Notamacropus eugenii: one gene and its partner. The protein of the gene in region 2 interacts with the protein of the main gene of each other region in a biochemical or structural test. Links are inferred from orthologs where the notes say so. Each region holds a gene or a part of one and is shown on either strand. Other genes may lie near its edges. The genes, in order: PAX5 and transducin-like enhancer protein 4.

Region 1 (16,347 bases), on a different chromosome or scaffold from region 2:
AACCTGTAAAAAATATAGGAGGCATCACATTGCCATAGAACTGTTCTCCAACTGAAAAGTGTCCCTAAGTAGACTTGCAGGTTTCTTGAACACTTGGATCATTAATTCTCATTCATTTTCCACACTGTGCTCTTTACAGTAACACTTAGTATGTCTTTGGAGCTTAATAAATACTGGAATCACCAATTTATCTACTTTGTACATCCTAATTTTCATCAAATGGGGCACATCTAAATGGCTTCGTGCATAGAGTGATGGAGTCAGAAAAATCTGAATTCAAATCCTACCCCAGGCATTTATTTAGCTGTATGACCTTGGACAAGTCACTTAACTTCCTTCAACCTCAGTTTCCTCTTCTGTCAAATAGGTATAAAAATAGCACCAACTTCAAAGGGTTATTATGAAAGTAGGACAAGAGATTTTATTTCTTCTGGCTTTTGCTGAAAGTCTGTGGTTCCTAAACTCAGAATCACCCAATGTGCATTCCACCCCATCCCCTCTAAAAAAGAAGCAAAGTTCTAGAGTTCCTTAGGTATCTGCAAATCTTAGGTACTGCAAAAAAAAAAAAAACGCTAGCTATTGTTGTTATTATTATTTTTAAATCAAGATTGCTCTCATCCTGTTTATTGTCAGACATCTTTGAAGATTTATTTAAGGAACTTTGTGCCAACTTCTTGAAAGATAAGATATTCTTAGGATACTTAACTAAGGTCATTGGTGTGAAGAACTGTGCAAACTATAAAATAGCTGCACAAGCGAGAGGGATTATTGTTCCTTAAGGAAAGATTTCCTCTCAGTATTGATCTTCTCTTCCTCCTCAGTTCAGTTTGGAGATCCCTCTGTTGCTGGGGGAAGGTGTCGGTGTTCAGCAGTGGTGATGAAAAGGGATGCTTGTTGTGAATATTTCCTTAATAATCTTAGTCTAGCTCAAAAGGATTGGAAGCAGAGGCTAGAGATAGAATGCCAGAACCAGTCTTTCCCTCTCCTACTGCCGCCATGAGCCAACTACTACATTAATACTTTGGTTGAATTTTTTTACTATTATTTTTAAAGGTTTAGTTGAATCTTTCTTCTTCCCCTCCCACTCCTCCCCCACCTCCCCAAACATTCTATTCCAGACGTAAACTAGTTGACGTGACTTCTGCTTTGAGTTTATATTTTTCCCCTACCTGTACATCCTATGTGCCAGAAATACCAAACACTGGAACTCAACTTTGACTCTCAGATTCCTCAAGAGAAACATAAGAATTATAACAACATCTGCCTTTCAGGGCAGTTGTAAGGATCAAATGATAATAAAGCGCTTAGCGTAGTGTCTGGCACACAGTAAAGTCTATTCTATTCCCTTCCCTTCCCCAGTCTACCACTGATCCAGGGTGATGTGTCTGTTTTTAAGCACGGAAAGTTCAGGGGACTTCTCCTGCTTTCCCCACCCCACTCCCCAGCCCCTACACACAATCTTTTCTGCCAAGTATTCCCACCGTACACACCTGCTATAGGGTATCACCGCCCTCACCCAATCTGAGTAACAAGGCAAGAAAACTTCGAACTCAAAAAAAGGATTCGTTGAAAATACTTTTCCAGTGTCTCCTGAGAAAACGAAAGTAGGGCAAGGGATTCTATTTCTTTGGACCTTTGCTGAAAGTCTATGGTCCCTAAACTCGGAGAGCTGAATATATGTCCCACCGCAAGCCCTCCGAAAAAGAAACAGTTTTAGGGTTTCTTAGGTGTCTATGTCAAGTTTGTTTTAAGTTTGTGAAGAACAGAGATTGTTTGGATTCTTCAATACCCACCCCCCCAAAAAAGTTTCCATATCTTTGTGCTTGGAAGAGTTCCTTGTTCCTTGACTTGCATGCTTTAAACGTGGTATGTCTCTGTCTCTGTGTCTCTCTGTGTCTGTCTGTCTGTCTGTCTCTCTCATCACCGTGTACCTCTCTCTCTGTCTCTGCTTCTGTCTCTGTCTCCGTTGTTTCTATGTCCCTCTCTCTGTCTCTTTATCTTCCGATCTCTGTGTCTCTCTCTGTCTCTGTCCATCGTCTGCTCATATTCAGTCCCAATTCGTCCACTGGATCTTTTCATTTTTGCCGGGGGTGGAGGTTGGGGAGGTGGGGCAGAGTAAAAGAATCCAAGCGTCGAACCAAATATTCCAGTTTGGACTGAAGGAGAATGGGTGACAAATTTTGGACTCGTCTAGTCTACCTGCTTTTCTTCTTTCATCAAACTACCACCACCAAAAGTTGTCTGGAAAAAAAGCTTAAAAACCGCTAACTTCTCCAAGCAGAAATTCTATTGTACTCTGAGTTGGTTTGTTTCTTCGTGTGTGTGTGTGTGTGTGTGTGTGTTTTCTTTAAAAAAAAAAATGTGGGAAGACGTGTGCTATTATTTACCATCTTTCTCAGAACTCAGACCTAAAGCAGAAGCCGGAGATGCACGTGGTAACCTCCAATTTACCAACCCCCTCCTATCTTCCTTATCCTCTTTTTCCCTCTATCCACCCCCACGTCCCCAGGCTGCCGAACTCCGGGACTAAAAAGTGATAGCTAATCATTGGGTTCCTGGGAAATTATTGGATCAGAGTGTGTGCTCTGTGTTTGCTAAAGAACAATGAGCCTCAGAGATCTGCTTTAGCGATTATTTGGAACGCTCCGCAGTTTGCTATATTCACAATAGTGGTTGAGGTCCAGCTTTGGGTGAAATGGCAACAACTGGTCTGTTCTTCCCCTTAAAACTATATAGGATAAATAATGCAGGGAGCATTATAGGACTCCGTGGTCACTCTCTAGCCTCCGTCCTCCTTTTACTCCCTAGAAACGATATAGGGTCTAGGAGTCCTGATGAGTGATTATGTAAACCCACCCAGGATGGGAGAAGCTGAGAGTGGAAGTGTGGTCCCCACGTGTGTCCGACCAGAGAGTGTTTGACAGCGAGATTTGATCTGAAAGTAAACAATTCTATAGATTATTTCACGGGTCACAGAGAGGAAAAGCACCTCCCTTAACAGACTGCTTAGATTCAGTGACCTGTCAGGCACCAGGAGACCAGGGTGTCCATCAGTACCACGTTACCCCTGAGCGAGACTCAAAAGAGACTAAGCTAAGCCTCCCCTCCCCTTTCCTCTCCCCAAACTGTCTCCCTCTACTTCGTCCTTTTCTTCCTTCTGGCTGATTCCCCTTGCCAGAGAGAGTTAGGAAATTGCTAACTCTAATTCATCTCAATGCATTCTCTAATTCTTTTGCCTCTTTCTCATGCCACCCCTCCAAACAAAGAGAATTTGAAAGCCTACAAAATTTTAGGCATTTCTGGGATATATATTATTGGTCAAAGTGATCATTTTTCTGGTTTTAAAGGGGGGGGGGATGCTAATTTTTGAGATTATATGGAAGACAAAGGAGGAAGCCCTGACTCCTACTTTGGCCTGGGTTTTTTTTTTAGGTGGAAAAATGTTTCACACAAGAAGACTTGATTCCACCAGTGAAAGGTGTGACACCAATACAAATCCTAACATGCCAACCCAACCTCACATTATCCCAGCTGAAGTCCCTCATTGATAGTTCTCCCAACTTAACTCACCCTGTGGATGCTAAGGACAAATGCTCTGCCCAATCACTAAATCAGGGGAAGGTTGAAAAGAATTGTGTACTTGATGGCAAGGAATGCCCCAAAAGGACAGAAAAGAGAAAGAAGTAGAGGCCTTGAGAAAGATTAGGGACAGAGGTAAAGCATTAGTATTGACTTGTTTTTTGTGATTCTGGATCTAAGAGACCAGTAAAAGGAAGGAGCTCTGTGGCAGCCCTTAACCATTTCTCTATATTTGACCTAATCCACTTAACACTGACTTCAGCACCTGCAACAGAATTTGCTCCATTGTAAGTGGGTTGAAGCATATAAATACCCCATTCCTAACTCATGACTCAAGCAATTTTGGTTGGGGTGCTAGTGGGAGAGGTTTGACAACTAGGTTTCAGACTAGAAGCATTATTTATTAACTAAGTGAAAATGGCTCCAAGAAAAACTCCAACTTTCATTCCAACCCAAATCCTTAAAATGTGTCATTTTGCTTGAACTAGGAATCTAAACCTCTCAAACTTCCAGTAAGGTCCAACCTATCAAAAGTGAAGTATGAGAACCGTGGAGGGATAGAAGAACAGACAAACTGAGATGGTTACATTTACACACTTTCTAGTTGATGCCTTCTACACCTACTCTCCAATTTTTCCTTCCTCTCCCTTTCAGGTTTGTGGCCTCCTCCCATCACAGGCCACACAATGACCTTACGACCTTTCTCATACAGTTGGACTCAAATCCAGAGGACCCTCCATTCTTCAAACCCCCACACCTTTTCCCTTTTCTTCCTGCCCCAACAACTCTGACCTAGAAGGGGTCAAGTCTCAACCAGCATTTTGCTTCTTTCTCGTTTCCTCCCCTATTCTCAAACAACTTTCTTTCCACTTATTCACATAGGGTCCAGTTTAGTATCCATCCTTACAGGTTGCCTTTATCAACTAGAGGCTCAGGAATGGTGAAAGCTGGGGAATACAAAGCAACACCCATCCATCCCCAACTAAACATACACACTTAAGAAAGGGATGACAAGGTGGGGTGGGGACAGGGGGCAATGAGCTGGGAAGGTCAGGCTGGGGTTTATCACTGGAAATGTCTGCCTGAGCAGCCCAGAAACAGGAAGTAGAGGGGGGAGGGAAGGAGAGACTGGGAGACAGGAATGGAAGAAAGAGCGTTATGGGCTTCTGAAACAGGTCCAAGTGAGCTCAAAGTTGCCCTCCTTTCCCTTCTGGCACCCCCTCCCTTCCTTCTTCCTCGACCAGCCCCATTCCGGTGCCTGCAGCAAAGAGGAATGAAATGCTTATCGATTAAACGATTATTCAGGCGATTTAACTAATAAAAGAGCTCATCGATCTCCTCGAAATCACATTATTTATAGACAGCTTGTCAGTACAAGAGTGCGCCAACAGACACAGATGCCAGGCACTCCAGTGGCTCTATCTGCCGCCCCAACTCCTCCACCAGGATCCACCACTATGAACGCCTGCCCTGCTTCCTATACCCTTTTGCACAGTTAAAAATACATGCCCACTCTCCTCGTGCCCCACACTCCTTCAGGGTCCCTGGCCTTGCTTTTTCCCTTCTGAATCTGGAATCCTAAAAGCTGAAGTCTTTTTTCTTAGCCACAGAACTGCAGTTTGGGTTTGGGAGTAACTGAGAAAGCGATGCCAGGGTAAAGGACGTTGGGAGGTGACTGGGGTGGGAGGTGAGGGTGGGATGCTAGGAACTATTGGGATAAGAAGGGGCCGACGATAGGGACAGTCCTCAATCTGCAGCGAATCTACCTTTCTCTTCTCTCTCGGTCCCCCTCCTCCCTGCCCCTCCCTCGGCCTGTCCTCCCCTCTCCACCTTAGAGCATATACAGCAGGCTGCAAAAGTGACTTTTGTAGTTACTGTACGTCTCGCACGAAATCTTAGACCTGAAATTTTTCCTGTTCTGAAAACGTGTGGAATCATACAGAGACAAGACTAGAGATGCTGCCTTTTCTCCTCTCCTCTCCTCTCCTCTCCTTTCCTTTCCTCTCCTCTCCTTTCTTCTTTTCATCTCTTCTTCCTCTTCCTCCTCTTCCTTCTCTTCTCCCCACCTCTTCCTCTCTGATCCCTCCTTTCTCCTCTTGGATCAGAGGATCCAGAATCATAAAAGCTAGTGTTTTCTCTTAAAAGTTTTCAGGGATTCTCACCAACACCACTCTCCCTCCCTTCCTCTCCCTTCTTCTTCTTCTTCTTCTTCTTCTTCTTCTTCTTCTTCTTCTTCTTCTTCTTCTTCTTCTTCTTCTTCTTCTTCTTCTTCTTCTTCTTCTCTCTCTTGTGTCTCCTTCCCTCCCTACATCTCTTCCCCTCCCCCTCTTCCTCCACCCCTCAACCCCCCCTCCCCATTCTAGTCCTCATCTCCATTACTGTTGCCAAGCGTGCTGCTGAGGCTGATCTCTTATCCTCAAGGCTCCAGTGTTGCACAGAGACCCAAATCGATAGTTGATACCTTTTCTCTCCTCACTTCCTCAGGAAAACCCAATTCAACTTCTGCCCACAGTGAGCTCACGAGTGTCTGGCAGTCACAGTTTGAGTAGAGGAGTCTGCCTAGCCTTGAAGGAACCCCCAGGCCCTGTATGTTGACTTTCCCTTTGAAAATAGTTGCTCTAGCTAATCTCTTGGAGATCCAAAAGATACATCCCAGGCAAAGAGTGATCAATTCAATCCAAATATCTTGGTAAAATGAAAGCACCTGGCTTTTTGAGTCAACATTTGGTTATTCCTAGGAGCTACCATCCCTCAAAAACAGATGAATAAAAACTCCACCAAAGCCATCTCTATCATTTAGCTGAAGTTAGAATTTAGCCCTCTCCTTAACTTTTAGATTCTAGTTATGTAAGTTTGCCTATACACATTATGTTCTAGGATTATTCACATATTTAATCTATAAAATACGTACAGACAATATAAACACTCACATACACACATTTTAATAAACAGAATACAGATACACTATATTATTTCATGAGCATAAGATGAATATACATAATAAAAATCAATACATCTATTTTTACATGCATGCATCTATATCCTATAGGTTTTCATGCATAGACATGTCTTCATTAAATAGACATATCTATATTAAAATATCACAAAACACAAGATATGTATGTATATTTTTAGTATGAATACATCTACACACTATATGTATATACACATGTATACGTATATTTCTTGTCTTTCTATGTATCATATATCATAAATATAATATAGATATATTGCACCTGAACACAAAAAGTCTACATATATTCACATATCTAAATATACATTCAAAAACAACTATAAATCGAGAGATCTGTCAGGATATTTAATGAATATTATGCATGTATAGTAAAACCTGTTTCATAATTATGTATTATAACTCCCTGTAAAAAAGAAACTCAGTCCTACCTGTTCTACCGGTCCTGGAAGTCGGGTAGTTTTTCTCTAATTCCATTCTGATTTTTCAGGACTTGGTGGAATGGACAGGGAAAAAAAGTTTCCACTTTTTTTAGGGTTTTTTTTTTTTTTGTAAGGGGCTGCTTGCAGGTCGGAATAATTCAACTCTTCCGCTCCCCGTCGAGCTTTTGCAGCTGATCACTGAGCTGAAACTAAACGTTTTAGGTGGAAAAAAAAGCCTCCGAAGGAACCGTGAAATGATTAAGGAACTAAAGAGCTTCTCGCCATGTGAGATCATGTCCTGTTCTCTAAAACATCACAAGATGTCCCCAGACGCATCCAAAACCCAAGAAACTCTGACATCGTTTCTAGCAAGAATCAAAGTTTGTTTGCAACCAACTGCCTGAAAGTATGACTTTAGATGTTTACAGAGCACTGTTTGGGAAGCCAAAGAAAGATGACTTTACTATATTGAAAAACAAACAATCCCACCACCACCACCACACATCTAAAGAGCTTTTATAGATTGGGGGTGGAGGGAGACCGTTGCAAAGCGTGGGTGGGGGGTTAGGAGAGGGAAGGATTAATAAACTTTTCAACATAACCGACTCCTACAATCAACAGAAAAGGCGAGCTGAGAGAAACATAGCTGAGCATCATTTTCATCCAGTAGGCTGTTCTGTGGAATGTTATTTCCTACTTCTTCACAATGTGTGTGTGTGTGCGTGTGTGTGTGTGTGTGTGTGTCTGTGTGTCTGTGTGGGTGCGTGTGTGTGTGTGTGTGTGTGTCTGTGTGTAAAGTTAATGGAATCGAAGGAGGTCGAATAGAGGGTTTTAACCTTCCTGGGACTCTATGTCTTTTTATTATCCCATGATGCCATGCATCGTTGTTTAAAACGAGAGAGGTTTTTACTGCAACTCAGTTGTGGTCCAATTTCTTACCTTAGCGAGACAACAGTTTTTCAAAAACGATCGTGAATGAGTAGAAAGCATATAACCTGCTGCGGTGAGCATTTTTTAAAAATAAAATAATATAAATGACTTTTCAAAGAGGAAAAGTAAAAGATATTAAAAATGGAGCTGAGGATTTATATTACCCTAAATTAATTTTAAAAACAAACAAACAAGCAAAAAGTGTGCAGCCCCTTTGTGAATAGCTCCTTAGGACCCACATAATGCTACTGCATAAATCGAAAAGCTCCCTCCTCTCCCCCCAAAATTGCATAGTGTAGATAAAATAAAAATCTCCCTTCCCCCAGAAAAATGTTCATGGTGCCCTCTCTATCTGATCCTCCCCACTTTATTTTATTAAGACCCCTTCATGGGTGGTTTTGGGAATATAAAAGCCAAATTATTATATTCAAATTAATACTATTTTATGTAGTTCCTTATTACTAGATCTTGATCGTATTTATTTGTACCTATATATGCATATGAATGAATATGCATATATATGTACATATTAATAGGTAACCTACACAAATTTTACAATGGACTAAGGCTTGCTTTAAGAGAAAAATCAAATATCAACTTCAAAGCAATTGTTTAAAAATATCTTCCTTTAATTCTTTTAGTAAATCTCATTAATTTTGAAATATTCTTGCCTGTCTAAAATGTGCTTGTTCTTCAAGTCAAATAAACTGTCCTTGCCTTGCCATTACAGTTGAACTTGGTATCAAAACAGTTTCTTAATCTAGACCCTTCTTTTTCCTGAGTTCAAAATAGGTTGCTGCTTCACTGAATACAGTCTGAGAAAAGTGAAAACTCTCTTCCTCTAGCAAATTTAGTGCATAAAAATAAGTAAAAGCTGGTGTTGATTCAACAGCAAATGATACATTTATGTATAATGTTTCCCCTCTTATACAGAGCAAAGGGATGTCTTAGAACAGTGACCTAAACTAAATACCTGTCCTTAGAATTGACATAAAAAGAGACCTAAAAATGAGCAATAAATATGCTATCCTTTTACTACACTCTTCAAACACCAAAGTTTCAATGTGATATGGCTGAAAACAATGATAAAAATGCACCTGCATGAAAAGCTGTGTTACTTCTGAATTCATCTTAATAAAATGACCTAATTTTTTTTTTTATCATTTCAGCCTAAGTATTTACTGTGACCATTCTCCCAAACAAGGAAGCTTTTATTTCTCTCCCTACCCCTTCTTTCTCTGTGACATGTGAAATATGCTTCCAACACAAAAAGCTTGTTTTGGTAGCAAAATATGTTTTGCCAAGGAATTTTTTGTAGTGTGTGAATTTTTTTAAAAAAATTAAATAAAAATTATACAAATTGTGCATCTTGGAGATTAGGATCCATACCAGGCAGAAACGTTTTCTCTCTGTTCATTTTGACCCCAAATATGGTTCAACAAGCCACCCTTTGCAGTTCTTGACCCTCTCCTCTATATAAATATATCCATTTAAGTGGAAACTACCTCCCAACATGGATTGTGCAAATGAAGGAAAAGTCTGGAAAAAAAAATCCCTTCACTCTTCATAACAGTCATTTCTGTGGTAAGAGTGCTCAGAATTAATTAATGTTCAAAAAGTAACCTGACCAATCTCCGTAGGGTATAAATTTAGGAGAAAAGGGAGGAAACGCTGCTTATTTTAATTGCAGGTGAAACAATACTATGACGTGTGATTTTAAATGTTTTTTTAAATAACCATGTCAAGTAACATTTATATACTTTAGTAATAATTTTCATACTTTATGGAATTTAAACAATTGTAAAAATGGTTTGTTTATAATGAGAACCTCACTAGGCTACCTGGTAGTATTTGGCTGAGAATTTTTTTTGGTTTGGTTTGGTTTCTCACTTCCTTCCCTCTACTAAAACCTTTTTCTTTCTTTCTTTATATATTAATGCAAAATGTAAAAACGTTTTACTCTCTCTCAGTAATCTTAAGACGAGGGCCCTTCTTCATCCTCGATTCAATTCTACCAAAGAGTTTCCTTCCCTTAGAACGCGGTGGTATAGAAAAGAAACCTTGCAAAATGCAAACTTTCCATTTTGCCCAGTTCTCAGAGATAGATTTCGGAGAATCCCTACTTAGCCCTGAGCAGAATGGGAGGTGGGGAAGATGGGAGAAATTATCATTTAGAAGGAGTAAAAGCCTTTTTTAAAAAATTACATTTCAACATGTCGTTTTCAATTTTTTTTTTTGTTACTTTATCAGGTTGTATGATTGCTGTCCTTTTGTGGGAGGGAGGGTCCTTTTTTGTTGTTTCTGTTTTGGGTAAGGGCATCTACTTTGGTGCAGCTGTGGTTAACAACCTGCATCTAGCTTCATCATCATCCCGGAAGTGTTCAGGAGAGGGACTCACTGCTACCAATGGCTAAAATCAGAAATATTGGATTTGTAACAAGAAAAGATAATGGATTTCCGAATAATGCAGTGAGGAATCGTTTACTCTTGGTTGGTAGAAGGGTACCCTCCTCCTTTGATGCTTACAAGAGCTTATGTGAGCAGTGTGAATACGACCTAAATTACGACTTCCCTTAGAGGCATAAATTAGTGCAGCACTGCAGCGATATATTTCTTGCTCTTTTCCCGCTAACAGTAGTGGACGTGTCCTTTCGCCCACGATTCCTCCCCTGTTCCAGGATAGCTAGCTTGCACGAATTTCAGGCTTGCCGTTTATCTGTGCCTTTTCCCACAACGCAAAAGTATGTATAATATTGAAACCCCGAGTCTGGGATATACGAACCAAATAGTGCCTTGCGTTCTTATTGCAAATTTATCTTTGTTCAGTTGCCTATTTCTCTGATTGAGGAGGGGGCAACCCACAACCGTCTCACTGGTTGTTTTCACAGTTATCTCTTCTCCATCCCGTGTAGACTACGAATGTGTTCATTGAAATTAAGTATTTGTTTGACTGGCAGAAGCAGGAAGGGGTGGAGTGGCACACTGACAAGTGCGGGGGGGGGCGGGCGGGAGGGGTTGTTCAGCTAGTGAAAAAGAAACAAAATAAAAGCCGTAGTCTGAGCGACACCAGGGTTTGACCGTGTATATTTGGGGGATTGGTAGTGTGTTTTTTCCCCTAGAGAAGTGGAAAATGTGTTGAATATATTTTTTCAGGTATGAATTCTCCTAAAAATCCGATCCTTCATTTTCCGCTGAAGTTTAATTCCCTTTAAATCCCACTCATCCACCCTAAGTGAGAGACAGAATAAAAACATTTCTCTTTGGAATATGTTTCTTTTAAAAATAAATTCATTGGTGTATGTGTATATGTATGCATTTTATATTTCCGGTTTCTTAATCTCAACTTGACTGGAGTATTAAGTCAGTTGGATTCGAACAACTTAAAACATAGTCGGTCCGAATTAAAAACGCTACCGCAGTCTCCAGCACCTACTCCCAAAGCCCTTTTTCCGTTCCGTTTCTTTGCATCCCAGACCACCAATATTCTCCGTCGCAGCAAGGGCCTGGTTTGGATTGCTGCTGACTCTAAAAACCTCTCTTTAGCTTTAATGCCTTTGAGTCTGGGAAAGAAAACTGTTGACATTTCAGAAAAGCTGTGGCCTCCTCCCCCTCTTCTCCCTTCCCTTGCCCTCCCACTAATAAAATTCCTAAAAGTGAGAAACAGAAGTCTAGGCGAACTTATATACGCATTTAAGCAGACAGCTGCAAACCAACTTGCGGTATTCTGGTCATCTTCTGCCTTTGGACTTGAAGCCTAGCAGAATTCAGCACAACTTCTTGCAATCCAGGGCGTAATGGCCACTGTCTTCCCAGAGAGGTGGTAAATCAGCTCCCTCTCGTCCTCCCCCCTCTTCCCAATCCTTCTCCCTCCTTACACACAGCCAGCAGCAGACACGCGCACTTTGGGATCTGGACACTGCTTCTTGTCAATTGCCTGGTAGCCCAAAGTGGACCCGTGCGAGTGCCCAGCAGGAGGAAAAGCTGTACGAAAGAAAGCGGAGGGTCTGGGCTCGCTGGGGAGCCAGGAGGAGCCGGACGTGTGGCAAGGGTCCCTGGGGCTGCCCACCCCCTCCCGCACTCCCTCCCTCCCTCTCTCCCCCCTGCCGCGGCAACGTGTGCTCTAAGGGGCACACCAAGGCTTTGCAGGCACATTGAGGCAGTAGCAAGGACAGGTGGGGGAAGAGAAGAGGGGGGCCAGAGGTGGAGGCCGGGAAAGGGGACCTCCCAGTTTAAAAGCTTCAACAGAAGGGAAAGAAAAGCTCCTCGGTGAGGTTCATTCAGTTCTACAGTGCCCCCGGAACAAAAGGAAATCAAAAGCAGGAAAGGAAGGAATGCAGACATCTTCAGAAATGCTTCTAGCCGGGCTCGGATCACTGCGGAGGAGGGTCGCCGCACTTTGAAGTTTCAGCCGGAAGAAAAAAAAGGGGAACCCTCTCCTTCTTGTCCTCTCCCCCCCCCTTTCCTCCCATACACAGAACCCTCCCTCCTGCACCTCTAGCTGCGAGGACAGTCACGCCCCCAAACGCACTGGTTTGCTCGGCTGTCCTCTTGGCCTCAAGGTAACCCCGGTCTCCAGACCTGAGCTGGAGTCCTGCCGAGGACTTGGCCTAATGAACAAGCAGAGGATTCCCGTTTCGCCTCTTTTCGTAGTTTCCCAGTTCCACTAGTCCCTGCCGCCGCCGCTTTGGCAGCCAGAAAGTTGAAACCAAGGACAGGAGCTGTCCGAGGCCTGCGCTGACCGAGGTGCAACTGCAATAGCTACCTTCTGGGTCAGTTTTGCTACCAGTGCAACCTTGAGCACATTTCATCGCTCTTAGGATCTCAGGGTTCTCCTATGTAAAATAAGGGGGTTGGACTAAACGATCCCTAAGGTCCCTTCCCTAGCCTGTGATTCTGTGAACTGCTGGCCCTGCGGATCCTAACATTGAAAATGGCTTTTCCTTCTAACGAGTGAAGGAACCTTGCAGGGTTCGCCTTCCACTCACTTCCCTTCTTCCCCACCCCCATCCACCTCAAACACACACACACACACACACACGCACACACAAAAGAGCATATTTGCTAGCTAAACTGTCTATTTGAGAGAAGAGGCCTGGGGTGGGGAATGGCACGGGGGGCCTAGATGAAGAAACTGGGAGGAGGAGGTGAGAGTGTAGGAATGGAGGTGATAATGACCTTCCTCACTACCCCAATCTCTCTACCTCCCGTCCCACCCCCAGATTCCTGAGCCAGGCAGGTAGAATGGAAGGTGCCTCGGCAATGAGTAGCATCTTCTTACGGAAAATCGCTTTGTGAGGGCCTCTTCCTCCCCATTGAAGAGGACTGTGATAACTTCTCTGACAGAGGGCCCCGAAGCAAGACATGGTCCTGATATAGGGCATGAAGCCTTAGATCTCTTAACATGTCAGCCCAGCAAGCGCTAGGCAGTTGGGGTCTGGAGCTATTAACAGCGGCCTTCAGCCTTCTTGGCCCAGGCCCAGGTTTTGCCACCAAAATTACCCCAGCCAGGATGAGGGAGAGTGGTCTAATTCGTCGGAGAGCTGCAGTAGGCCAGGGGAAAGCCAATATCCAGTGGTCACTTATCCATACCTACCCAGATCCCAAGACGTAGCCTCAGAAGAGGGCGGGATTCGGAACCTAAGCCCAGGGTTAAGAGAGCTTCTGTACTCAAGAGTCAGGGACAGATTGGCTTCCCAGCTTTGACCGCCAGTTTTATGCCTGGGCTGAGTCCTTTCTCCTCGGCACAGAGGCCTGGGAATAGCGAGTTTAGCAGGTTGAGTTGGAAGGGCTACTTTCGGAGAGCTGATTCAAAGTCATAGCCACTTTGCCCGAAATAATCGCACGCTGCCGGGGGCCAATTTACCAGTGATTTAGCTCTGCCAATCAATCAATCAATCGGCCAATCGTAAAACCTACCCCCCGCATCTCCCTGGCTGACTCTGCTAAGCTTGATGTGACCTTGCGCTCCAGGAAGGCACAGTCCCTAATCAACACTTTCGAATAGAGAGGATTCCCTAGGCCGGGGAGGTATAGCACTGTATGAAAATGAACATTTTGTCATTTTTCTCCAAATCACATTTACGGGCCTCTAATAGAAACCAAAGAACTCGTACCCGTGGCAAGTCGAAAGGGAGTGACGCTTAAACGCAGTGTCCCAGCTAATAATACATGCCAAAGACATGCCTACATCTTTTATTCTAAGTGTTTTAAATGACTGAAAGCAAAGACTTCTAAAAATCGCAGCACGTGCTTGTAACTCATTGGGGAGAAATGTTAAAAGTAAGATGAAAACATCCACAATATTGCATTATGGCGACCCGTATGACAAAACCTAGTTTTCCTTATTTCTTTGGAGGGCTATAACAAGATATTGTAGAGAAAAGGTTCAAGTGACCAAAAATCTGGTTTGTTTGAACTGATTAATTTCAATTCAAATCCAGTAAGTAGTTGCTAACCTTTGATTCTGACTTACATTTATAGATGGAGAAGCTATGTTTTCATATAAGGGCAGGAATAGACCTATTTGTGTGCCTCTCCTTGGTGTTTTTATAGAGCATGTATCTCTGTGAAGTTAAATGTTTAATCTTCAATTCTGAAAAAAAAAAGTACTCTTGATGATATTTAAAATTTTCTAAAAGCTATGATAATTTATGAGAAAACAATTATTTTTAAAAGCTTCTACAAACCTTAGTTTAATTGTAAAATAAGGACTCATAAATTCTTGTTGTATTTAATTGTAACTTAATTATTCTATAACTTACACATTAGAAAGTTTTCTTGGATCTATTCTATTTCCAGTAATACTTATGTGACAATTTTTTCTTTCTCTGTGTTATGTGTACTTTAGAATGTGAACCCACCACATTTGTTTATTTCAGCGTAATGCAATTGAAGATAATTTGCTTCTACAAACTTCTAAAACATAAAAATGAATAAATTCCCAAGGGATTTGAAAATCCAAGTTAGTAGTTGGGCAAAATAATTCATATGGTTTTAGACACAGATCAAAATGATACTCTAGCAAAGTTAAGTGATGCACTTAATTAATTAGGCCATATCTTCAGTTCTTTCCTGAGAACCTTTGATTATGTATTTCTGTAATAAGTGTGATATATAATTCTCTCAATGAGTATGCATCACAGCAAACATAAGGTCCCATCCAAGAAGCTTAGGTTACAAATCAGTAAAATGCCAAATTTTGTTTAAATATCCAATTCAACCCTAAGCTACTCTTTTGTCTTATTTTGTTTTACTTTTTCCTTGAAGACAAAGTCAGGTGGAGAGAGAATAGAGCTGCATTGGATCAGGTTACATTTGTTTAAATAGTTGGGCTTTTTTTTTTTTTTTTTGATGGCTCTTAAAATCAGCTACTAAGCAACTATTTTTAGTAGTTTGCACTCATCACTAGCCAATTTTTTTCAACTTATTAACCATTTAAAAGAGAAGTAATTTTTTAAAAATTTCCTCATATTCTCAGGGTCTGTGATATGAATGTTAGCAACCCCAGAGACACCAAACTAAATTCCTAGTAATTTCTTGAAATGCTACAGAGTTCCAAGAGAAAAATAGCACTTTAAAATTGCCTTTTTATTACTTTTTTGTTCCTCTATGCTCCACTAAGGGACTAAGGCCCTATTGACGTATACAATTTTATAAAATAAAATCCCATCCATAAAACTATCCCTCTGTAAGAACTTTAAGTTGTTATATGAAGGTCATCCATACAGAAAAATTATATGTTAAAAAGGCTTTTTTAAAATGTCAGATATTTCTAATGAAAAGCAATAGCATTATTCCCTTTTTTTCTAATTGGAAATTTACCAGTAGCAAAAGAAAACACTAAAAAGAAATCCTAATAGTTGGCCAATGGTCTTTTGAGAACCTAAAAAAAAAGTTGTATTTAAAAATGCCTATTCATTAAGCAAAATGTTACAATGATAGAGAAATTGGGTATGTTTTCATGAGTCTTTACAAATTCCTGAGAAAACCAAGAAGTATGTACTCAGGTGTTCAAAATATTTTTAAGATTGTATATGTGTATATAAGTAAAGTTCACCTGTACATAGATAAATGCCACTTACTACCTGTGTACAAGGTTAAGTAAAACTCTCTTGCCATTTAATAGCATTGGAACCTAAGATAAACCCAAGCATGAAAATACAACTTGAAGAAATTGACGGGTGGGGATGATTTACTGCCATTTTGGTGGGTAAAGAGAAAAATTTTAAAGTTATAGCTAATGTAAAAATACTTACAGGCTGTGTGAAAAAAACGTTTCCCTAGATTTTACTCATGGCAAGGAGTTAGCTTAAACAAGGCCTGACCTTTTGTCTTTTGACCTCTGATGCATGAAATTAGGTAGCAAAAGAAAATGTGAAGAAAAAGCTTTTTATTAAAAAAAAAAAAAACCATGAAAAACACAAATACTCATTGCATCAGATCACA
Region 2 (16,678 bases):
TCAATCCTTCATTCTGAGGTTTTCCAGTTCAATAGTGACTATCCCTTCCATTCATCTTTCCATTAAAATTTCCTACTGTTTACTAAAGGATGGCAAATTCTGCCAGCATCACTTGGGATTAGCATCCTAGTTATTTACAAAGGGAATACAAACGCCTTCAATTACAGCGTACTTTCACCATTATATAAAAGTTCAATTCTGCTTACTTCTGTTAAAAAAAAAAATTAGTCATGTTAAGCATATGCAGAAGTAAACTCTCATTCATATTCTCTCTCTCTTTCTCTCTCTCTCCCTTGGATGCCTCCTAACTATAAGGCATTCAATGAAATGGATAATTCACCTTCAAGAAGTCAGGTACTTCTGAGAAATTTTTTAAAAAAAGCTAAAAGGGTCAAAACGGAACCGTAAACAAAGCATTTTAGTTTCTACCTAAACTACCATGATTTCTACCTTCACTATATTTCCCCAAATAAACTGATGATGACACAAGAATCAACCACGCTCAAGGCTGAATGACATGTCATGCCAATTGTATGTTTCTTCAGCCTCAATAAATCTCTCCTTACTCTCAAAATCCTGAGCTGCTTCTAAAATAGCTCAGTAAAAAGCCCCAACCTAATTAAAAACAGCTTCCTCTGCAACAGTGGCCTTGATTTCACTTATTTACACATTAGCTGCAGCCTCCTTTTGGCCAATCCAGTCCATTCTCTGGGCTGTGCAGGGCCTTTTATCTGCCCCGGACAGCATTTTCTCCAGCAGATGCAGTAGATGCCGATTGATTTGCTGTCGAGCACGGTAAATTAATAGCAACAAATTGCTGAGGGCCCATCTTGCTGCTCTACCATGCTTCGGCAGTTCTGCTTTATTTGCTCCATGATGGGCAGCAGTCAGGCCTCTTCAAGTCAATTTCTTCTTAACAACCTGAAATACTTTTCAATGGTGAAAATAGAGCTGTTCCTTGTAAGTCAGAAATCAATATCCTATTGCCCTTAGAAAATGCTAAACAAGCAGTATTGGCAATCCACTTGGTACTAGAGGGTATCAGATATAATGCAAATCCATACTGCTTCCCTCCTTGTAGTTATTACAGTTTGCTAAAAGGTTCCTAATGCCATTTATCATCATTTACCATCGACTGCTGCAGCTATGATTATGAGATCCTATCAGCTGGCAGAGCCCTTTCATTTCTATTCAATTAATATTTTAACAGCACTCAAATGGTTGTTGCCCAAGTCTTGTAATAAAATTTACATGGCTTGGAGCGAAAGTTTTTCTTGCTTTGATTTTTAAAAAACATTTGTATGTGTATATTTACTTCATTTAGATTCTCATATTGTTGCTTCTACAAAATCAAGATTTATCAAAATCAAATAAGACTAATTTTTGGAAACAAGGGGTGCTTTTGACTAGGGAACGTTAACTAGCAAGAAGCTAGATAGACGATTTCTTATTCTCTTTCGGCCAAAATGTAATACTTCCATCACTACCACATTTCAAATTCCTGTAGCTCTTATTTCAGAAATGCCTACTAGCTAATCAAATTCCAATATTCAACCTTCAATACTAAGTACAAATGTCTATTTAAACCCAAAGGGTCTCTCTTACTTATAGCATCATACATAAAAGAGCAGTATGTGCTAAGATCATCCTAAGATGATCTCAAACTCAAGCATAGCCCAATTCTGCAACAATGAGTGACCCATGTTAAGATAAAAAGCGACACTGTTTTTATTAAGGTATTAACTGGCAACACAAGTAACATCTACTAAACACTATCAACTGTCTTTCTACACAACAAACCAGTTGAGATGCACAGCGAGAGAATTATTCTCTGATAGTCTCTCATTTTTTCAGAAATTCATGACGCAGACACATCTCAATAAAATGTTCTTTAAATGCATTCCTTTTGTCATCCTCACTTTCATACTAGAATATGAGATATAAGGAAGTATAGACTCATATTATAGCCTATAATGTTCCTCCTTAACTTTTGTTTCTTCTAGTTTCATCTGCTCAGTTCTATTGATCCTAGTAGAGATTACCAAAAATTAGATTCATATCTTGTGCTTTAATTCGATGTCACGTTACTGTGTACCCTCAGTTCCCCTTTAAAAAAAAAAATCAACTCATTCTACCAATCTAATGCTATTTACTCAGTTACCAAAATTTAAATTAATTATGTTCTCAAACATAATTGTTAAAAATTGGCAACATTATGCAGGCTTAATTAAGATTAAATCCAATTTACTAAATGTACTTTAATTGGTACTAATTACATTAAGCTTTCATTTCAGAATGACAAATTCCCCATAGGTTTTACTTTAATAGTCTTCTATCAAAATCAACACAGGATGACTGATGATGAGCACCAAGTGAGGGGGGAGGGGGGAGAAGACAATATCGACCCCCACATCGTTTCTGCTCCATGCATTTATCCTTTTATCAATTTGCTAAGTCACAGAGTCATGCCTCCATCACAGCCATCATTTTCTGTTCCAATGAAAAATTTCTCTAAAAATAAATACTGTGTAGTTGGAAGCAGCCAAGAAGAACAGGAGCTTTAACCGAAAAATACACAAAGGTTTCAAATATCAGGGCCACCAATTACTAGGGTACTTCCAAGGACTCCAGGGACTCCTACTCTTGAACCCTCTGAGACGCAAATCTAATAAGTGAATAAGCCTAACCTGATCTCGAGAACTAGGCCCAATTATGCCGCAGGGCAACTTCACTGCATTATTGCCTGCTTTCCATTACAAGGGCATCCAGCGAGTACATCTGGAAAAGAAGCTAAGAGGAACCAAGGCTGTCTGCCTAGGAAAACAAATAAAGACAGATATGCCTCTGTGCTTAAGGGGAAAAAGAAAGAAAATATAATAAGTAGGTGGTTTGCAGGCCTGTCTGTATTTCATAATGTGATAAACTGCCCTCAGGATTCTTGATGTGATTGAATTTAGAAAGCAAGAGGAAAAAAAAGGGGGGGAAATACACTCTGCTCTCAATTTAAAATGGACAGCGTTTGAGGACTTACAAACAAGAAGACTGCACAATTAAAGGTGTAAGTATAAAATGTAATTAGAAGACATCATAAAAGACTATACTTCTGGCAGAACATGGAGTGTCTATCTGTCCAGCACTTACACAGCATAAAGAAATCTAAGCCTAGAAGGTTATGGAGACATAGGAAGGAGGGAGAAAAAGAGGGAGGAAAACATAGAAGGACATTAGTCACTAAGTTCAATCTTTAAAAGACACTAATTAATCTTCATATAGCAAAAAGACATGTACAAGATACAGACCTAAGATGAAATTGAACAGTAATGATACAAACATCTCAGCTGTACTTTGTTCAAGTAAAGCGGAATGAATGGAAGACCGTAAGCTTGAATGAGTTCTCTGTAAGCAGGCAGTATTTAGGCTCCTAATTTAAACAGAAATGGCAGTAATACCAAAATGATATTCTAACTAATCTGAATGCTATCCTCAATACACTGTCAGTGCTACATTCAACATAGCCATGGAACTAATGAAATAAAGTATTCCGAATTACAAACTCCAATTTTCTCAGCCCTTGAAATAAGAGATGACTTTGGAGCTTTGCAAGTGTTTGGCCAGTTTTCATGTTTTCAGATACAATTGATTTGCTGTCTTTTACTCTCTAATTCACAAGTTTAAGGTAATCAAATGTACCCTTGGTGGTGCTAAAAACCATACCAAAGGAGAGGTCCATCATATGGCAAAAGATGAACAATACTGGGCAAATCATCTTCTCCAAACTCAAAAAGTAATGAGAGACATCTTTAATATGAATAAGGAAGAGCACATTAAACTACTTTCCTAGCCTCTGTACACAGGGAGGTGAAGACACACACCTATTCCATTACTGGTTGGTGAGATATCAAGCAACATTATTAAAAGGGCATTTAAAAAAAACCACACTACTCCATAAAATAAATTATTATTGCCAAACAATTCATTTTTTTTTTTAATAAGTGCTGTTTTTCTCTCTAGGAAACCCAAATCAAAGCACTTATTTTATCGTCCGGCAAAAAAAAGGTTAAAACCCACACACTGCTCAGTGAGTCACACTACTCACCTTTCCTACTAATCACTATTTTTCTTTGGCTTGAACTAATTGCTGGACTTCAAGGCACAGTGATGAACCTCATCATATCCTGCTATCAAGCTCATTTACTTCTCACAAATTTTGAAAGTAACGGACAGTTTCCTGGTAAGACCCAACTAAGTAGCCTCAAGGGACCAGTTTGAGGATTTTTACAACAATTTATTTGGTAGGGCTACAGAGTCCATTTTGATTCTTTGCAGCTAACCTTTTACCTTTCCATACAATTTTACTTTTTAATCTTTTTAAGAAAAGATATATTCCTTATGGCAGAGATTCTAGTTTATTTAAATCCACGATATAACACACATCTTTCAAAAAAGAAAATGATAATATGTAGGCTTGTGAAAAGTGTTCAAATCATTTTCACCTATGATTTAAAATGATGATAACAGACAACAAAAAAAGGGAAAATACAAAGAAAAACCGTAGCACTCTACATACCATAAATCATTTTGAGAATCGGGCCATGCAAATATACAAAAGGATAAAGAAAGACTAGAGAATTACGTTTTTAAAAAGCATGATATATTACTGAAATGATTTTATCATTAAAGGAAACCAACCAAGGCTTACCTGCTTGTGCATTTCTATATTCAACCCGTAGGACATTTCATAGTACTGTCAAGGAAGGAAAATCAATTAAATTCATGCCAACTATCAGGCAATATTTCTATTTTCTGTTTGAAATTCCTCATCTCCCTGACAAGAACCTCAAAAAACCCACAACCCATATTACCCATTCCCATAAACTCCATGATAAATTCGGCTATCTATCTACTAATTTTGACTTAATCAAATACAAAAAGTGATTTTGAATTATAGGGGAAGGGGGAGGGGGTGAAAAGGGATGAAAGATACTCCCAGTGAAAATGTTAAGACAATTCAGAGTTCAAAATCTGAGCATCTTTAACATGTTCTGCTCCCTCTCAGTATTTCTCATGAGAAGAAAAATCCTGGTGTGTGAACTCAGTAACAAGTGTACGTTAATTCTTAGGCAAGACCAACATGTAAATGGGAAAAATACATCTTGAATTAATCTTTGTGCTTTGACAGAATTTGGTCATAAAGGCAGTGTTACTTAGAAATAATCTCTGGGGTTAACTTTCTCATTTTTTAAGCAGTGTGTTTATAACCACAAATTCAAAGGGAAATTGCCTTAGATGCAAGCCCACAATGTAATCCTTCAGCTGCTTTAGAAGCCATCATACAAACATTCATGATTATATGTCTTGGAAGGAAACTGTGATTTTTAAACCCAGATGATAACTGGTACTTTGGGAATCTTGATGCAATAAACCTTGGGAAATTTAAAAAGTCTCTTTTATTCAACACATAGGTGAAATGGAATTTTATTTTTTAATTTAAAAAGATGATCTTTATCTTTCTTTAATTCCTCACTCTTTAAAAAAAGAAAGCACTAAAAACTAAACCATATACAAAAAAATCGTTAGTTAACAATCATTTGCAATTATAGTAAAACACAACAAGGCAAGCCACCAAAACACCAATATTTTGATCATGACTTATAAGCAAAGCAGAAATGCAGAGGTTGTGTTGCTGTTTTCCAAAATTCTTAAAAAACAAAGTACAGAGAAAATGACACAGCATGCTGTTCAACTTGGAGGAAAATTTCAAATCAAAACCGGTTTTCCGAAGCAAGTTCTAACATCCTGGAATTACAGGTTTCTGATGGAAATTATGCCACAATTCCAAATACAGTGGCAACACAGTAGTGATTTCTTTTGTAGCCTGAAGCTACCTGAATGAATTCCTGCTTTTGGTATATCAGACTAATAGACATTTTGAACGTGTTATTCAGTTTTCTTACCATGACATAATGCCGCTGCATCTCGGTCTTCTCACTGGCCAGTTTTTCACATTCCAGTTTCAAACTGTTCAAGACATAATGAAGCGTGAGTACTCCATAACACTTCTCTTCTAATCCAAGTATGCTCATTACCTCTCAAGATCAGTATCCATAAATTTCAAATCGACAATTAAAATACCAACACCAAAAAAAATATAAAGGAGGTGGTCTCATTTCTCCTTTTGAACAGAAAGTGTTATTTAAAGTTTAAGGTGGAAGATAAGGAATCTCTATTTCATTCTTGAATCTCATCCAGAAATGTGTATTCATTTAAAAAAAAATCAATGAGATTAATATATGGTCACAAATGATAAAAGCTCAGTCCCACAAAACATCACACTTGAGTTTTCCTTAATGGTCCACAAAGAAATGAATGAAAATATGAATCACATGTAGCTTAATGATGTCTCTCTTTCCCTCCAAAAATAGAGACAAGTTGAATACCATCACCCCTGGGGGGCAAATTGTTGATCCTGTCCAAGTTGGGGTTTATTTTTTTTAAATCATGTAAAAAGAAACATACATAAATGAAAATTATGGCAAAACGATTTTAAAATGTCAACTTTCAGTCAATGATCACTCTGAGAATAAAACATCTTTCAGCAAAAATGAAATGAGATAGCTGTGCTGGAAGCCAAGATTCTCCCCCTTGATATGTTGAGAACAGAAAAGTGAGACGGTCAGGTAGAAGAAAAAAGAAGAGGAGGAAAATCCCAAGCAACAAATAAGGAAGCTAAAAGGCCCCTGAATCTCCTTATCCCTTGCTTTCTTTCTGCCCCAATAAATTATTACTGAAAGTTTGCCACCATCTTCCAAAGCTCCTACAGTCTCAAAGCGTTTCTGCCCCCTTTTCTATTTATGTTGGGGAGAAAGACTCACACTTTCTTTTGCACCTGCCCAGAAGGGTGCTATTACTGTCTATAAACAGAAAAAAAAGTCACCCCAAATCTTTACATTCAACCTAATCAAAATGAAAAAGAGGGGGCGCTAGGGTGATGGGGGGGCAACTGACAAGAGCTAAGCAAACAGGAGGATCAAGGAAAGTAAACATCATTACCTGTGATACTGAGCCTGTAAAAACTGAAACTCTTCCTTAATCCTATCGCAGGACTCGGAAATTGTAAATTTAAAGGGTTGAGCAGGCTGATGCGGTGCCTAAAGAACAACAATAAAATTATTTAATTATCCCACATCACAGGCGAGCGAAGATTGGGAAAACATGCCAAGCAGGGCTAAAAGGGGGAGGGGGGGTCACAGCACATTAAGGCAAAGAGCTATTAAAACTGTCTCTCCCTTACTCCCCCCCTCCCACTTTTCGTCTTTTAACCAAATACAGAGAAAAGTCTCTTCCCCTTAGCTAGGCATCCCCCTCATTCCCCGCAGACATGGACACACGCAAACACACACCGGTTTTTTTCCCATCCACGCCTTTCTCACGAACATCAAGGTTCGAAAGCTCTTTTCTCATTAAGGGTAAGAAGGGGCAACGTCTGGAACACAAGCACTCCCCCCGGCCCGGAATCGAAACTGACAAACAGCCACGGTCTAAGTCAGGGACACTTTGGATACATTGTGAAATTGGCATGAGGGGGTGGGGGGAGGAGAAGGAGCTGAAAACGACACGTTTCATTCTCCAGGGACAAGTGAGAGAGGAGGGGGAGGCATCACCCCCTCCCAGCATACACGCACGCTCGCTCTGCTCTCTCCGCGCTCTTCTCTCTCTCTCTCTCTCTCTCTCTCTCTCTCTCTCTCTCTCTCACACACACACACACACACACACACACACACACACACACGCACACGCACGCACACGCTGGACCCCCATCAGCCCAGGGATGGAGAGAGCTCCCCCGTCTCCTGGTCCCTCTTCGCGCCCCCCCCCCCTTTCCATCTCTGGAAAAACTGAAGGAGCCGAGATCGCAAATGGTTACCCCCGGGTTTTCAGGGTTTCCCGAAGACAACAATAAGAAAATGGCTACAACTCAATTGCTTTCTCGAAACGACACCCCCCCCCCCCCCCCCCGCTCCCCAGTCCTTTCCCCTCCTTGCCAACATCCAGGAGCAGCAAAGGGGCTGACTGGAGTAGGGGCACGGATTTATTTGTTTGCATTCCCCCCCTCCTTTTTTTTCAAACCTTCGTAGTTAAACTGAAAAGGTGGGGAGCGCGGTGGGGGGATCCCAGCCTGGAAGTCTCCCCGCGCCCCCTCCCCGCCGGCCGGGCTTTGCTTCCACTCACCGGGTGTCTGGTTTGCGGGTACATCTTGCTCAGATCGCGAATCATCCAAACCGATTTAGTTGGCGGCGCTGGGCAGAGCGGCTCGGTTCATTTGTTTTAATGGCAACAAGGAGGAGGAGAAGGCACCCGGCGGCCGGGCGGCGGGGCTGGCTGGCTCTCGGAGGAGCGTCTCTCCGGCGGCGGCGGCGGCGGCGGTCCCTGCGCCCCCCTCCCCGCCCCCGGGTCTCGCGTGACACAAGAGGAGGAACCCTCGGCGGCGGCGGCGGCGGCGTCTCTGTCCCCGGCAGAACGGAACCGCTCCAACATTCCACGGGGGGCTTGTCACTGGCCGGCGGTCATTGTAGAGGGTGGAACGTCTCCCCCGGCAACGTTCGGAGGCTGCTGTCCCCACGTTCCGGAGGGGCCGGTCCTTACGAAGGAGCGGCTGCCCGGGAGCCCCTGGAACGTTCCTTTGGCGGGTAATATCCCTCCGATCGCACCAGTCACTGCCCTCCAAATGTGGTGGTGATGGTGAAAACCGCGAAACACCCCGTGTACCCGCACAGTCTCTCTCGCTACCCCACTCCAAACTTTTATTTGTCTTTTAATTGGTTATTATTCCTCCGTATGCAATGCCTCTCTTCTTGCATTAAAAAAAATGCAAACTCCTTTGATTCGGAAGCGGTCCTTGCTTTCAGTGATTCTCTGGAGATTATTCGGTTCACAGCAACGATCTCTTAACATGCACCTTTTAGCTTCTTTTACCTCATCTCATTTCCTGGTTTTTCTTCCTTCCTGTTTTTTCTTGTTTTTCACCCCTCAAAAAAAATTTTTTTTAAAGAAGAGGGGTGTTAAAAAAAAAAGAAAAGAAAAGAAATGCTTTGCGGCTTTATTTCTCTCTCCTTTCAAACTCCTCGAACACCACCACAAAACAACATACAAGTGTGTGAGAGAAGGGGAAGAAAGCAGCAAGCAGCCTAAACAACCGCTCGGAACAGCTCTAACAACACACTCTGTCTAGGTGACTTCTTTGACCAAATTTAGCAGCAGCAAATCATTAACATTCTGATACATATTCACAATCATAGAAGAAGGCGGCGCGGAGCATCCCGGGAGATGTAGTCCGATCCTGGTGACTCTTTCCCTACTCTAAGTTACAGGATTGACCGAGACAGACTACAATCACCGCCAGGCCAAACGACGACTCCTGGGTCCCCCACCAACGCCCCGCCTACTCCCAGCGCAGCGGGCGACACAGACAACCAATCAGAGACCGCTGAACATTAATCGCCGTTCTGTGTTACTGCCCATCATTTCATTTCTGACAAATGGGGAGCCAGTGGGGAGGAGCCGGACAGGCTAGTTCCCACGTGGGGGCCGGGCGTCGCCCGCGGCTCGAGCCAATCAACAGTGTGGGATGAGGTGAGCGGGGGCGGGGCAGAGGCGGCCCGCCCGAGGTGGAGCTTCGCGGTTGCTGACGTTCCTTAGCGCGAGCGTTCGAACAGGGGAAACATTTGTTCAGCTGTCAATCAAAGTAACGTGGGGTTTGGTGGAGCTGCTGCCTCCGCTGCTGCTGCTGTTGCTGGTGCTGCTGCTGCATCTTCAGAACTGGGTGATGGTGGCAAGGGGTGGGGTGGATAGAGAGGGAAGGAAGGAGGCTCGGTGGTGGTCAAACGCACTCAACTTCTTATCCTCGTCCTCCCCCCCAAACCCCCAACTCCCAACCCAAACATGCACACGACGCTGCCCTCCACGGCGGCCGCATTAGCCGCGCCAGGAATGCGGACTAATTAGGGTCCAATGTCTCCTTAAAGAGACAAGCTCGGCCTTGTGTAACGTGCCGAAACCCCTGTTGAGACAAGAGAGGGAGGATCACGCTGATCCCTCTTCTTTCAGTTCACATCAATTTTACGCACCGCTGGAGCCGGCATAATTTTCCGTGTGAACGGGACTGAGTCCCCCCTGCCCTTGTTTGGAGACAAAAAGCACCGCCCAGTGACTTGGGGGGTGGGGGGGTTGTAAAGGGTTGGCACCGCGGGGGGAGAGGGGGGAGAAGGCGCCTCCTCTTAAAGAGTGTAAGACGGATGTGATTGCTGTTTAACCCTAGAGCTCTGACTTGGCTTCTCCCTCCCAGAGAGGGAAAAAGGGGAGAAGCGTACCCAAAGAAGGCTTCCCCCCCACACTCCACCCGATAAGCCAACTTCATCCCAGGCCTGGGTCCGAGAAATAGTGAGCTATCCATGGGCTTCCAGGACTGGGAGAGGAGGCTCGGGATCCCCAAAGAAACTTTATTTCCAGCTTCCACTCCTCCCGGTTTCTACACTTTATGGGGGTGGGGGAAGCACCCTCTTTCCCCCCGCACCAGCCCCTTTGTTGAACAAGAAATGCAGCCCAGCAAGTTTGACTCCGACGGTCTAATAAAGCAAAGGCTGGGGTTCGGAGTGGGGTGGAGGTGGGCAAGGGGGTGGAGAGAGTTCTCTAGGGGTGCGTACCTCTCGCCCATTTTAGCTCCGGAGAGACCGCGAGCTCTCGGGGCTCCCTGTAGGGAAAACGAAGGACGGCCGGGCTGTTGCATGCCCTCCGGGGCGAGGTGGCGCCTCCAACGCCCGGTTCCTCCTCTTTGCGTGTCACCAAGCAGCAGCAGGATGCTCCGCATAGGTGATGAGGGGTGCCAAGCTCCAGGGAGCCTGCCCTCCCTTCATTCCGCCCCCATTAGCGCCAGCCTCCCAAGAGACGCTCACTCCCAGAGAGGAGGAAAGGAGATCTCGAGACCGCTGGAAGAAGCAGCCTGGCCCCGGGCTTTGGGGAGAGCCTGGGGCTCGAGTGCAGGGCTGCCTTGCTAAGCCAGTAGACCCAAGCTTGGTTGATGGAAAGATGGACTTGCCATTCCTGAGCTCTCCAGCCGGTCCCGATTTTAGAGTGGAAGCTTCCTGCGGCACCTTGGACCATGGTTGTTCATGTTAGCAAATGTCACTTGAAGACAAGAATGTTGGATGGTGAGGAGTCTTGAAAACCATGCCCTGCTTGAAGCAGTCAACCTCCCATTTTTCCATGGTACATAGGGCACCTCCTATAAAGAAGAGCGAAGGCAATGACGCAGAAGTGTGTAGAGCCAGTCCCTTCTCTTAAATAGCTCACCATGATGATTGATGATGATGATGATGATGATAAAGGGAAACAATGACAACGAATGGTTGTTGTTAGATTCCTTGGAGACTGTGCCTAGCTCTCATACTAGAGAGCACCACAACCACCCCGAAAAGAGGAGAGGGGTACCTTCCTAGCCGTATCCTGAACCCTCTCCCAAAACTAAGAAAAATAATTAAGTGACTTTTGGTAATAATGTCTGACATCATGACAGAAATGTATGCTGTACTTTCAAAATCATTCATGACTCTTAAGGCACTTTACATACAATATTTTCATGTGATTCTCACCACAAGCAAGTCCCCGTTAGGTCATGTTTTGTTTTCCCCATTTTACCAGTAACTATACTAGTGAGATTAAATGATTTGCTTAAATTCACTCAGTACGGGTCAGAACCCAGACTGTCTCCAAATTGTGGTCTTTGCCTTTCTTACTTGTGTATTTTCTGAAATAATTTATACTTGCCTTTGTAGGATACATAAGTATTCTCTGAAGTTTGTGCAAATAGGGTGATATGTTGCTTGCACTATCATAGAAAGCCTCTGAATCAACTGGACCATATTTACTGAAATTCTGTGTAGCAGTTTCACTTCCCCCAGCACAGGAAACTTGATGAGACTTCTAATATCAGAACCTGAAGAGATACTGAGGGTCAATGAGCAGAGAGTGTCCTTTGCTCTGTGAGGAAATATCAAATAGCTTGTAATAGGAAACTTTCTCATAATACCTCCTGACAGTTGTGTGTCAACAGGAGAGTTGGAAGAGAGGGAGCAAAATGTGGATTTTTTTTCCCCAGGAAAAAACCCAGGTCCTCAGGCATGTTTCATCTTTAAGATGTGAAACAAAGCATTACAGCTTGTAATATCTAAGAGAAAGAAAAAGTCAAATATAAAGGTACTATGAAACATCCCCAGTCCAGAATACTACACCCTGAACAGAAATGTAGTGATTATCATATAAGTACTACAAGTAAGAGAAAAAGGTTTTAGTCTAGAAAAATCATCATTGAACTAAAGAATCAATTGATTTGAGGGCATAATTCTGGCTCAGTCATTGATTTGCAATCACCTAAACATTACAATCTGCCAAATTTCGTATATGCTATACTGATTATAAAAATTTAATAAATTACTGTACAAAATCAACATGAGCTCTTTAGTCATGGCAAACTTTAATGCTTCATAGATAATCTGTGAACCTACCTGACAAGTATCTTGTGAGGATAAAATGAGATAATATGTATAAAGTACTTTGCAAAGTTTATAAATGCTAACTATTGTTATTTATTCATGTGATTGCTATCTCATCCTCATTGCAAAAAAAAAAAGATTCTTATAATCTTAACAGAACTGTAAAAAGAACAATGGGCAATGTATTATTTACTTGAGAAATGGCAGCACCTACCCCGAAACTATTTTCTTTAATTACTCCTAGATTATTTGACTTTCAAAGAGTCTAGAGGCAGAAGGGACCTAAAAATATTTTCTAGTCTAGGCACAAGGGATGCAATAAACAGAATGGAAGTCTGTAGTTAGGAGAAATCTGAGTTCAAAGACCATTTCACTTATTTAGTTCTATGACCATGGGCAACATGCCGTTTTACCTATCTGAGTTTCAGTTTACTCTTCAGTAAAATGGGGATAATAATACCTGTGATATTACCTCTGAAGTTAACTGTGAAAACTTTAATCTCCCTTGCTGATATTCTCATAAAGGGTCACCGATGAAGCAGCCGGGGCTCCTGGTGATTAAGTGATTTGCCCAATCTCACAACTGTTAAGTAGTGAGGTAGAAAAGAAATTCTGTGTTTCCTGGTCCTTTGTGCAGAGCTCATGTTTTCTATACTCTTAAAATTGGTATTGACCAATAAAAATGTGTGGTTTCAATCATATTTACTTAAAAATATTTAATATTTATTTATTTAGGAGGGGGAAGGTAGAAGGAATTATGTTAATAAATTGTGACTGACTGCAGAAAGAATGACCTCTAGGACCCCTTGCACTTAGTTCCCAATGCACAAGTCTCCCTTTTCCTCCCCACTTTCTTTTCCACCACTACTTCCCCTCCCCCCCCTCCCCATACATACTCCTCCTTGGAGGCTCTTAAGACTTGGTAAGAGCAGCTGAAGAAATACACCTAGAGCTTAAACTACTACACTTTTTACTAACAGAGTTGTTTCTTCAATTGCTCTTGCCAAGCCTTCAAATAGGTTTCTGCTTCTGTAACAACCTCAGCCCAGACAGAAATTAGACAGGAGAAATTTGTATTTATTTTTGAAAATTAGAGGGTGAGAGCAGCAAGGTGGAAAGACGGCTGGATTTGGAGTCAGGACCTCATTTCCAATTCTGACTCAACCATTTAATATATATGTTACACCTTGGGCTAATCGCTGAAGAACCATACTGGATCCCAGTTAACCCTCTGTAAAATGAAGAAGCATGGTCCCTAAGGTCCCTTCCAATTCTAAAACCATGCTCCTATGGGCTTAATAGGTACATAATACTTAAAACTTAAGCACTTTGTTGTTGTTATGTTTGGAGTTCCCTCCTTCCCTTCCAAGTTTTCATTAGAGAAGGTCAACATTTGATATAGATATATATTTTTAGAAGCATACAATACATACTTCCATATATCAGTCCCTTCTCTGAAAGTGGGTAGCATTTTCCTTCATAAGTCCTTTGTAGCTAATTTGAATTTTCATATGTCTCAGAATAGTTTAGCCATTCAGTTACTCTGAAAAATATTAGTGTACTGTATACAACATTTTCTTGGTCCTGTTCATTATTTCATTCAAGTCTTTCCTTGGTTTTTTTTGATCAAACTCATCATTTCTTACAGCACAGTGGTATTCCATCACAATCGTATACTACAGCTTCTTCAGCCATTCTGCCCTTCATGGGCTTCCCCTCAATTTCCTGTTCTTTGCCTCCACAAAGAGATCTGCTATAAATATTTTAGAACATATAGGTTCTTTTTCTTTTTCCCAATTACCTTGGGAAACAGACCTAAATACTTAAGTACTTAATACTATACATTGAGGTGAGGGGAAGCATGGAGCTAAATCCTATACTATTTGGTGCGTTATAAAAATGTGTGAAGTTTAAGAATACCTCAGAGTACTAAGCAGATTTTTGTTTCCACTGACCTTGCCTGGTCCTCTGAGTGTCATTAAGTGTGACTCAAATTTTAAGGACCTATAATATTAATACCTGTGTATAACTCTCACAACTATATTTCATATCAGGACTTGTCTATAATATTATATAGTCTTTCCTAGAACAAGTCGGGTCTATCACACAACTTCTCTTCTTAGAAATTCTTTTAAGTCATTGTGAATGAGCCATCATGTAATATCTTGTCCAGGACACTACTAATTTTAGAAAACACTAAAATGGATTCAATCTTATTAGTCAATAATTGTAGTACTTGCCAAATTTCCATCAAAACAAGTAGAAAATTCTGAGAGATTTTCGTTCATTAGGAATAATTTTTTTCAACCTTAGCTTAAAATAAACAAAACAATTTTGACCGCTTTTATTTTGATAGGCTTTTAAAGTCAGTGAGGAAAGACTTACAGTCATCATTAAATGCGTGCTTCATCCTTCCTTGCTGAAGAAGACCATGCCATCAGAGAAATGATGACATGACTTGCACTTGACTTTGTTTTTCTGAGTGAGGGAGGGCTGTGCAGGTCACCAGCCTCACTTCTCCTCCAGAATCATCTGAATCCAGTGACCATCTATATTCATCAGGATGACTGGAGATGACCCAATATGAGGCAATTGGGGTTATGTGACTTGCCTAAGGTCACACAGCTAGTGAGTGTCAAGTGTCTGAGGTGAGATTTGAACTCAGGTCCTCCTGACTCCTGCACTGGTGGTCTATCTACTGCACCACCTAGCCTCCCCTTCATCATTAAATACATTTTATGTGAAAGGTGTAACTTGATCAGGTAAATAAGGATTTTTAATTAGATCCTATGCTATACTATTATGCAGGAATTAATGCATTATGCAAAAGCATTTTTTTTAAAGAAAATAGAAGAACTCTTAGTCTAGTGATAGAAGCATAGAAGTAGCAACTTCTGAAATAGTGAAGAAGGCCTCATGGTAAATCTAACACTGTTCATCCAAATTTAAAACCAACCTGTAATAAACTTAGGAAAGCTAAACTTCCTAGATTAATAGCTATTCAGTTCAGCAAATACTATTGAGAGCCTACTATAGTATTATTAAAACTTAGAGGTTTCCTCAGTGAGAGAATTTGGCAATCTGATACTGATTGACTCATATTCTGATTCGTCTTTTGGTGACTTGAAATGGTAAGAGCATGTATGAAATGTCCTCTATTCCTCAAGTTAGACTTTCTTTAAAGAACAGTAAAAAAAAAAAATCTAAGTAGTAACCATATAAATTAATTCACTATGATCATGAGAAAGTTCAGTAGTCAGTACGTGAGCTAGAAAAATGGATTTTGATATTGTTGTGAACAAATATGATTCACATGTTTACTGTTTTTAAAAGCAAGTTGTTAAAGAACAGGGATTCCTGAATTGGAATTTAGATGTTACTAATTCATTTCAAAATGCAGCACATATAAATGTTCAACACTTCTTTATTTTAAATTTTCAAGTTAAGTATTTCTTCAATAAATGACAATTTCCCACCATTTCCAAATGGCCTTTTTCTTACTTTCCAAATTATTATGTTCTTTGACAGTTCTAAGGGATGATTAAAGTCCACCAGCAGATTAAAGATAAAACATTTCCTTTCAAAAAAAGCATACAAACAAGTCTCTAATGCCTGCAAGAGGGGAAAAAAGTCTGCTTTGTTTATATTCTTGATAAATATCAGTATTGATGATTATAATATTATTTCTAGCACAGCTTCCCTCCTCCAGACCATAATTTCTCTTTAAATTCTGTCTGGATGCATTATAAAAAGTGCCCCAGTTTGGGAACACAGGAGGGAGAGATGGAGAATGAATGGGTTTTCCTCTCCCAGAGATGTTGTGAAAATTAGTCAAATTCAAAAAGCCGCCTTAGGTTCCCAGGGGGAATGATGCTACACATAAACAAAACGGCCTCACCAGTTGTTACGGCAGGATCTCTGCCAATCGCACTGTTTCTGTTATCCCTACAACAGTTTCCTAGAACAGAGAGGCAGATAAATTGTTTATGTTTGTAAGCTCCTTGAAGGCAGGAGCTGGGTTTTTTTTTTGGGGGGGGGGGGGGCGGGTTTGTACCCCTGGACTAGTTAGTTCCTTACTCATAGAGGGCACTTCATAGATGTTGGTGGCATTAGATTTTAAATTTTGGTGAATA

What was found.
Region 1: the proteins of transducin-like enhancer protein 4 (region 2) and PAX5 form a complex in vitro, tested with the Homo sapiens proteins (2 studies listed by BioGRID). The link is inferred for Notamacropus eugenii from reciprocal best matches to the Homo sapiens genes TLE4 and PAX5.

What each region holds. Positions count from the first base shown.
Region 1 is NC_092874.1:317,649,763-317,666,109, reverse strand, and holds the start of PAX5 (paired box protein Pax-5), read right to left. Parts: upstream 7,170-16,347; 5' UTR 7,028-7,169; coding exon 6,982-7,027; intron 1-6,981. UniProt on the Homo sapiens protein: Transcription factor that plays an essential role in commitment of lymphoid progenitors to the B-lymphocyte lineage. Fulfills a dual role by repressing B-lineage inappropriate genes and simultaneously activating B-lineage-specific genes.
Region 2 is NC_092872.1:69,729,358-69,746,035, reverse strand, and holds the start of transducin-like enhancer protein 4, read right to left. Parts: upstream 8,368-16,678; 5' UTR 8,275-8,367; coding exon 8,230-8,274; intron 7,149-8,229; coding exon 7,051-7,148; intron 6,019-7,050; coding exon 5,955-6,018; intron 4,745-5,954; coding exon 4,700-4,744; intron 1-4,699. UniProt on the Homo sapiens protein: Transcriptional corepressor that binds to a number of transcription factors. Inhibits the transcriptional activation mediated by PAX5, and by CTNNB1 and TCF family members in Wnt signaling.